Linked DNA regions of Drosophila melanogaster. The protein of the gene in region 2 interacts with the protein of the main gene of each other region in a biochemical or structural test. Each region holds a gene or a part of one and is shown on either strand. Other genes may lie near its edges. The genes, in order: Sgs3 and Pgant9.

Region 1 (3,655 bases), on a different chromosome or scaffold from region 2:
ATTTCAGTATATATCGTCCAGAAAAGAACAAAACTAGTTTTTCCTGTGGGTCACAATCACGATGGTCTTGTGGCACCTCTTGGGATTCTTGCACTTCCGCTTGGGAATGCGGGTGTGGCACCAGTTGTTGCCCCTCCAACAAAGCTTTTTGTGAGTGGAAGCGGCCGTTGTTGTTGTTGTGGTTGATGCTGCAGTGGTGGTTGTTGTTGTGGTGGTGGCATCAGTTGTTGTTGTGTTACTAGCAGAGGAAGCCATCTGGATGGCCAGGGCAATAAGGGCAACCACGAAAAGGTATTTCATTTTGAAATTTGATGGAATTTACTAAGAAGTCCGCAGTGAAATAATCGAATTTGCTAGATGCTGTGTTCTGATTTTCTGGAGTTGCAATTAAGTCTTTTATAGTGGAATTTTCTTCTGTTTAGTTCCTCGTTTTGTGCTATCGAGTACATTTGCCAAATAATAATTCTCACAATGATTTCCTTCCTGCAGACAAAATAAGTCTCATGAACTATATTAAATATTTGCTATCAATAAACGCCGATCCATTGGGTTACCGACGACACTAAGACAGCTGTATAAAGGTTTATGATATTCATAGCAATGTACCAAATCAAACATGATAGGAAAAATAAGCCGAGATCACAAATAAAATTGATAAAAAATAGCTTAAGTATTTATGTTCGGATTAGATTTTTTGTTCTACTTTTATTATATTCATATTTGAACTTATAAGAGAATCGGATTATTTCGAGAAAGTCGTAGCAAATGCTTGCAATGCATTCTTAGAAGTTTTCCGTGAGTTTTGTTTTATAATCTGCCATTTTGAATTATCACTCAATTATATTGCTTTACATGTTGTTATTACTTTTTATTTATATTAAAATATAATTTTGATATACAATCGATTTTTTAAAAGCAATTGTCAATATAATTCTAGATGATTTGTGATTATAAACCTTTGGTTTTCGTTTATAATGCAAATCTAATTATAAGTATATAGTAGTACGTCTAATACATTTCGTACTAAACAATTAAAACCTTATCGTGAAATACTGAAGCAATAAAGAACCAAGAAAATGTTATTGCCTTTGAGTGGTTTGGAATTACATTTAGCTAGAGGTTGGTGTATCGGCTAACAAGTAAAGAAGGCTGTATGTAAATTCGTTGAATCAATGTCAAATTGCCTGTCAAAGTGCAAACGAAGACCCAAAATGTCTATCCTAATTCGAACCTAAAAATATATATTTTTTGAATATGCAATACTATAAGATAATTGAATAGTTTTATGGGGCTTATTTGTAAAGCTAAATTAAGCTAAATTTAACTGTCCTTATTTATATTATTATATTTACTCAGCCTATATTAAAGACCTATTATTTATAGAATTTAACGCAGTTTGTCTGCAAAACATCTCTACACCTTTTTCTACCCGTTACTCGTAGAGTAAAAGGGTATACTCGTTTCGCTGAGAAGTAACAGGCAGAATATAAAGCATATATATTCTTGATTAGGGTCAATAGCCGAGTCGATCTGGCCATGTCCGTCTGATTCTGTTTGCCACTCCCACATTTTTGAAAAATGTTTTATAATTTTTTCATATTTTTATTATCTAAATCTATCCCTTCCACACCTTAGAGCATTAAATTTAATTTCTTTCCCCCAATTTTTACCGATATTCGTGAAAAATGTTATACATTTTCCATTTCACTTGAACTAGCTAAGTAACGGGTATCTGTTAGTCTCGTTAGCGTTCTCTCTTGTTTTAAAATAAAGTCCAGGCGATCGAGTCGACCCAAAAGTATCAAACAAAGGGGAGAAGGCTTGTGTTTGCATAATCGAAATACTGACTCCATTTTTAGAATTGCAGTTTCAGTGAAAGCGTACCTATAAAAAGGTGAGGTATCCGCAAGAAAAGTATCAGTTTGTGGAGAATTAAGTAAAAAACATGAAGCTGACCATTGCTACCGCCCTAGGTAGGTTTCACCGAATGCTCTTGTTTTCGGTATTTGAGCCACTGATATATTCATCCGTTTGCCTTCTCCACAGCGAGCATCCTGCTTATTGGCTCCGCTAATGTTGCCAACTGTTGCGATTGTGGATGCCCCACAACTACAACTACTTGTGCGCCACGTACCACGCAACCTCCGTGCACAACTACGACAACAACAACCACAACTACTTGTGCGCCACCCACACAACAATCTACCACGCAACCTCCATGCACGACATCTAAGCCCACCACACCTAAGCAAACTACCACGCAACTTCCGTGCACAACACCCACCACCACTAAGGCCACCACCACGAAGCCCACCACCACTAAAGCCACCACCACTAAGGCCACCACCACTAAGCCCACCACCACTAAGCAAACTACCACGCAACTTCCGTGCACAACACCCACCACCACTAAGCAAACTACCACGCAACTTCCGTGCACAACACCCACCACCACTAAGCCCACCACCACGAAGCCCACCACCACGAAGCCCACCACCACTAAGCCCACCACCACGAAGCCCACCACCACCAAGCCCACCACCACGAAGCCCACCACCACTAAGCCCACCACCACGAAGCCCACCACCACTAAGCCCACCACCACGAAGCCCACCACCACGAAGCCCACCACCACTAAGCCCACCACCACGAAGCCCACCACCACTAAGCCCACCACCACGAAGCCCACCACCACTAAGCCCACCACCACGAAGCCCACCACCACTAAGCCCACCACCACGAAGCCCACCACCACGAAGCCCACCACCACTAAGCCCACCACACCTAAGCCGTGCGGTTGCAAGAGCTGCGGTCCTGGAGGAGAGCCATGCAATGGATGTGCTAAGAGGGATGCACTGTGCCAGGATCTTAACGGCGTACTCCGCAATCTGGAGCGCAAGATCCGTCAATGCGTCTGCGGTGAACCGCAATGGTTGCTGTGAAGCGTCGAAGGAGCGTCTAATCCACTCCCGTACTGATCGATGTGACTGCACCCCTGCGAAATATATTCTGTGGGGGAGCTCGGCCAGGACTTTGACTACGCTTTGTTTTTGTTATCATCAATTGATTTTACGTGTAAGAATTAATAAAATTAGTTAGACTGCATAAATTTTAAAAGCATTTATTATTATTTTACTTGTATTATTTATGACAAATTATTATTTATCTGTTGGGTTTTCGAAAATGTTGGTTCTAAATTAAGTTTGGCCATCATTTGATCGACTTTTTCGAATGTATCTGTTACTTTTACCAATGCGTTGGCTTTGGCTCCTAGTTCTATGCGAAGTCTTAACTATCCGAGCTCTTATGACTTGGTCAACTTGTCTCAGCTAACTACTGTTGGCTCGGGTTCGAACTTCGGTTTGGGCCCGACTCGAATCGGCGGCTTTTACGATCCGATCGCCACTCGAGTGCCGTTGCTTGTCGCTGGTGGACGCGTTTCGTTGGATATCAATTGAAATACCTACATATGTTGAACCGGCGGCGTTTTCTTCGACCCAACATAAGTGACAAATAAGTGCAACTAAAGACGTGAACATATTTACAGGATATAAAACAAACGTCCGCTATGTGCGATTTATAATTGGTGGGTGATGCCATATAAACAGCGGGAATCTACTATAATGGCTATAACTTTACCGAGTATCTGTGCGCT
Region 2 (5,322 bases):
AGGACACTATGTGGACTGAATTGATTATGGAAGAGTGAATACAAATGCGAAATTGAATCCGATGAAAAGGTTTAAAATGTATACTTAGCACTAATAAATTACAAACTGCGCATACAAAACGTATTTATTGAGCCAGATTATGTGTTCCATAAAATCGACTTAAATCGTACGATGGCCAAGGAACATAGCTTTCATTCAAAGTCATTTATCAAATTACACCTTAATAGTTTAACTTTTACCATAACATGCTTCGATTTGAATAATTAAACCAGAGCTTTTGATGTCGTTTCAAGTCTCTTAGATTATTTGTGAGCTTGTGCTTAATTCCCAGAGGGATCAAATTGCTTTGCAGGCAGTAGTCCTGTTTGTGCTGGAATTTTAATTGGTTGCAAAATCAATAATCAGCAATGCGGCATAAACTATTTATGTGTGTCAAACCAATTGCGAACCGACCTGCGGCCCACAAGTTAAATTCTCTAAACTAACACAAATACCAGCTAAGTACACACACTGACACACATGAAAACTTCCGCTCACTCACACCAATAAACGGAAACAAAACTTGAGTCAACAGTTATGGCAGGCAAATTGACTTGAGAACATTTTTTGCTGCAAAGTATGCAACGATTTTTCGGCACTCCATTTGTGTTTGTGTGTGTATGTGTGTGTTTTTCGGGTGTTTTCCGGGTTGCTTTCCAGTGAATTTGAGGGGCGAGTCCGGGGCTGCCTAACTAAGCCGAGTCAAAATCTAATTGGATTTGTGCTCACTCAATGAACTGCAAACGAAAAGTGTTTTATATGATTATTCGTCTGGGAGCCTCCGGGGACCCGAGAAATGAACATTTTTATTTCCATTTTGCACTTGCCATACTCCATTAAACCAAAGTGCAAGTGTTTGCAAAATATGCAAGAGAGGAGCTACAGTGGAAAAATAATCAGGTTATGAAAGTATGTAAACGGGATTAAAATTGCTTTGAAATAGGTTTTTAAATATAACTGCTAACTAACTAGTTTGTTAAGCGAAATATTATGCTTAAGTTTATTTGATTTTTGAATCTGTTTGTAATAAATATACATTTTTATGTACCCCCCAGTCCCAGTGTATTTATTAATATACACCTTTTTTTCGCTTTTGCTGTTCGCTTATTGAGCGCCCTTGTGAAGGCGACAAAATATTTGCCACGCGACATTTCCAGCAATTAGGCGTAAAAACACGTAGCCAAGAATGGCGAGCGGGAATACCAGGGCATACTGCGGAATCGTTGGGTTTATCATAGCGAAAATCAACGCCAGCTGAAGGCGGTAGTAAAAAAAAAAAAACAAAAAGGGAGCAGTGCAGTCTGTAATGAGACGGAAAGCGAGCGCCAATCGCTGCAATTAAAATTAATTACAGTATTTGTCAGCTTAGCCCGGCTAACTAAGTAACTGGCCACCAGTAAACCTGCAATCTGGCCAGGATCCATTCAAAACACGGTGTGGCGGAAGGGGAAATCGGGGTGTGGGAGAGCTGCTTTGATTGCAATCGCGATCGTTAATTAAATGTCGAAAGGAATGTTGTTGTTGCAGCTTGTGTTTGTGTTGCAGATGTTGCAGCGGCAGTTAATGCCGGTGCCTCCTGTGCGTAAAGATCAGCCAAAATGGATAAGGGCCAAGTTGCTGTTGCCGCTGGCTATTTATATCTGCAGCTCGCTGTTGCACGCAATGTAATGTACATATAACCAATGTTGCTGCCGCAGCAGTTGTTGTTGCATCTGCTGCTGCTGTTGTTGCTGCTGCTGCTGCCGTTGCTGCTGCGGGCATTATCGCCCTTGATCTTGGCTAAATCGAAATCGCCGGCGTTGCGTGAAGTGTTGCAAATGAGTTTTTGTCTGGGGCGTGCATTGCATTTTCAATTGGTCGGCAAATTGGCAGCGCCAACGAAAACAGCCATCAAATCAAAATCACAGGTGGCACAGCTGTATTGAAATTGGCATTTTCCAGCAATTTGGGCACCGAGCATCATTTTAAAAATGGGGACGGTTTCATCAATTGAAATAGCAGACCTAATTAACCTAAATAAGCGAAAAAAGTGAAAATTCTATAATAACAAACAATGCAAATATATAAATGAAATTTCATGAAATACTTCAACCTTAAATGGAATTTTTCGAACTTCCGTAAGCCTTGAAAATGTTGTTATATTGATACTATTTATTAGCTTTATGGTGAAAGTATTTAATATCAAGCTGTACATGATCACACTAGCTCATCCATTTGTTCGTCAATATTTGCAATGCGATGCATTGTATATGGCCAAATGCAGTTGTGCAAACAGAAACTTGAGCGCTATCAATATATGACAACAAGCAGTGAAAAACACGAGACTCGTTTTGAGGCCAAGAAAACTTTTTCGCTGTATAAGAAAAACTAATGAAAAATGCGGCGCAGAGGAAAAAGTTGATTGGTGTCGTCCTCCCATTCTCCCAAACGTTCCCACAAATATCCACCACCAATGCTGCCCCAAAACTTGGCCATGTTTCAATTGAAAGAGCCAAACAAAACCAATGAAAAGTCCATAACGAACGGCGGGCGGAAAATGCGGAAAATAGGGAGGGGAGGTGCCAAAGCGAAGCAATTGAAAAACAGCTTCCGTCGGTGTTGCAAATTGTCAATTTCGTGGTCCGTTCTTTACACATCACAATTGCTATGTAAAATGCAGTGAATGTTGGTAGCCAATCGCAAATAGATTCTGTCGCCAACTTCTAAAAAATTTCAATTAAATAAAGTTAATTAATATTAGTCATTATTAAATTTCCACAAAAATATGGTTACTTTCCTGCGGCTAAACCGCCCTCATCATTCCATCCCCACCCCCAGCAAAAGCAAAAACAAGGCAAACAACTTCAATATGCAAATGAGCCACGTGCAAGCCGATTTGAAGATGGCCAACGACAAGTGCAGTGGCCAACACGTTAGACTTGCAGTTCGAGTTGCAGTTGCCAGCCGGCTTAAGAGTCGCGAACGAGCTTGTTCGATGTTGCAACAGTGATGACCAGCGGAGCCCATTAAAAGCTAAAGAAAGTTAGTGCAACTAAAGGCTAGTATATCATATAATATGTATATGTATATATGTATGTATGTATATATAAAAATAATAATATATATACCATATAATAATAATATTAACCAATTTAACTAGAAGCCCACATTAAACACATCCGAGACATTCTGAATATATGCATTTATAAATTTATAAAGGTTAGTAGTAGTATTAGTTAGTTTTTAGTTTAGTTAACCTCGCTTCGTATTTTTGTTTTCTTTTTTTGGTTTGTTTGAATTTAAACAGATTTCTCAGCCATTCCATGGATGAAAAGCGAGGACCTTCTGGGAAACTCTTATCCCGTCTTTTGCGACATGACAGTCTCCGTCAGTCTCCTCCCCCGCGCCTAATAACCCATGAGGGTGGACCGCTCTTGCAATCCCATTTCAAATTCCATATCCATTCCATTTGGCGTATACGGGCTCATTTGTCATTCACAGGCTGAGAACAACAATGTCTGGGGCAACAACAAAGAGTCTTGCTGTGTGTCTCTGTGTGTGTGTCTGTGCTGGGCTTATCAGCGAGTGTTTATCAGAAGGAGCGAAGTGACCCACACAACAACCCCCCCACCCACTTGCAACTCGAACATCGAACCTGGGGCTGCGAACATGTTGCGAGCCACTGTTGCCGGCTAAAACTCCAATGGGAAATACTCAGTCGATTTTTGACCGTCAAATCAGCAGGTTGCGGTCGGTCCGTAAGTGCGAGTGGGAGAGCGCGCGTGCTAAGGTGAATTGTGAATCCGTTGCATTTCTCTTCCTCTTCCACTCCTCACACCTACGCAGAGGTGTGTGCGTGTGCGTGTCTGTCTGGCTGTGTGTGTGAAATAATGAAATAACGAAATAACAACAACAGCAACACAAATCACAGTCAGCTGTGAAGTTTCTTTGAATGTGTGAAATCATATATGCAAATGGCAAAAATAAGCAGAAATTACAAATTAATAGTGTGAAAAATTCATACACAAATTAAAGCATGCTAATCGAAATAGCTCAAAAAGCAACTGAGTAAAAATCAAAGCATACAAAAAAAAAACAGCCGCAGGGTATAATTTTTTGTGAAACTTGCCAACTGAATTGAAATTGGAACTTGGGAATTTTTGACAGCAGAATCAAGGAGCAAAGCGGAGAGCGAAAGGCGGGTAAGTTGTTTTTTTTTTTTTTTTAGAACTAACGGAGAAGAGCTTGTAAACACGCGACCCGGCAGCATGCCGTCCCTTTTCCACTCACCTTGCACCTGTCGTTTTGCCTTCGGTCCTCGCCCTCTCCCTTTTCCGCCCCCTGGCGCCATCTCTTTCCCGCCTGACAGCATATCAAACAAAACATTCATGTTTGCTGTGTTGTTTGTTTGTTTGTTGCCTTGGTGCTCGTGCACCGTTAGCTTGGGCCGACATTTTACAATGCTTCCCCGCTTCTTTCGCCACCTCTTCTTCTTGTTTCAGTTTTTGTTCTTGTTCTTGTTCTTGCTCTTGTCTTAGTGTTAGCATTGGTCCCCTGTAAACTCACTTCCTCATTTTCAACTTTTCAACGGGCTTTCGACTTTGTCTGCGGGCTAAAAACAAAAACAAAACGAAACATAAATATGCATTCCCTTTTGAGATAGTTGTACACATCGGAAAAAATTGCAAGGAAATAGAAAATTTTTCAAATAAAAATAATATATTTCATTAGGCAGCTCACGCGTCTTAAAAAACCTGACATGGAATAAATCTCATTTTTCATTTCTAAAACATATATGCATAATAACTATAGATGTCATATTCCTTAAACCGACAAATCTACATTTATTTTGTTTAGTATTTTGCAAATGCTTAAATTACCCAAAAGAAAACCTTCATATTCCTATAGTTATTTAAATGTATAACAATCGAAGTGGGAGTATAGTTTTTAGGGGACTAGATAAAATTGGCTTCGTCGTACTTGACGAGGGTTTAAAAAATTTGTGTGCGAAAGAAATGTGAGGTTTGTTGTTTGCAAATTACTTTTTATTGGGCATTTCCTTGACTTTGCCGACTCTCCCCGTTTTTTTTTTTTGCAGGCACTTGCAAAGAAAAATCAATAAATTTCATTTGATTTTTATAGTCGCCTTCTGCTCCGCTAGCAGCTGTGCCCGTGTTTGGCTTTTGTATATTTGTGTATTTCTGTGCGAGAAAAACCCTTGAATGGGTCCGCTTTGTTTTTGCCTCTGGCTTTGCCATGGCAGCACTTAAGCCACCTCTTCAACTCCCACTCTTTTAGCCTGGT

The links.
Region 1: of the proteins of Pgant9 (region 2) and Sgs3, one has a biochemical effect on the other in vitro, tested with the Drosophila melanogaster proteins (one study listed by BioGRID).

What each region holds. Positions count from the first base shown.
Region 1 is NT_037436.4:11,510,290-11,513,944, forward strand, and holds Sgs3 (salivary gland secretion 3), read left to right. Parts: upstream 1-1,931; 5' UTR 1,932-1,945; coding exon 1,946-1,973; intron 1,974-2,046; coding exon 2,047-2,942; 3' UTR 2,943-3,113; downstream 3,114-3,655. Other genes in the region: CG33272 (uncharacterized protein), read right to left, coding at 34-300.
Region 2 is NT_033778.4:16,729,797-16,735,118, reverse strand, and holds the start of Pgant9 (polypeptide N-Acetylgalactosaminyltransferase 9), read left to right. Parts: upstream 1-2,202; 5' UTR 2,203-4,220; intron 4,221-5,322. UniProt on the Drosophila melanogaster protein: Catalyzes the initial reaction in O-linked oligosaccharide biosynthesis, the transfer of an N-acetyl-D-galactosamine residue to a serine or threonine residue on the protein receptor.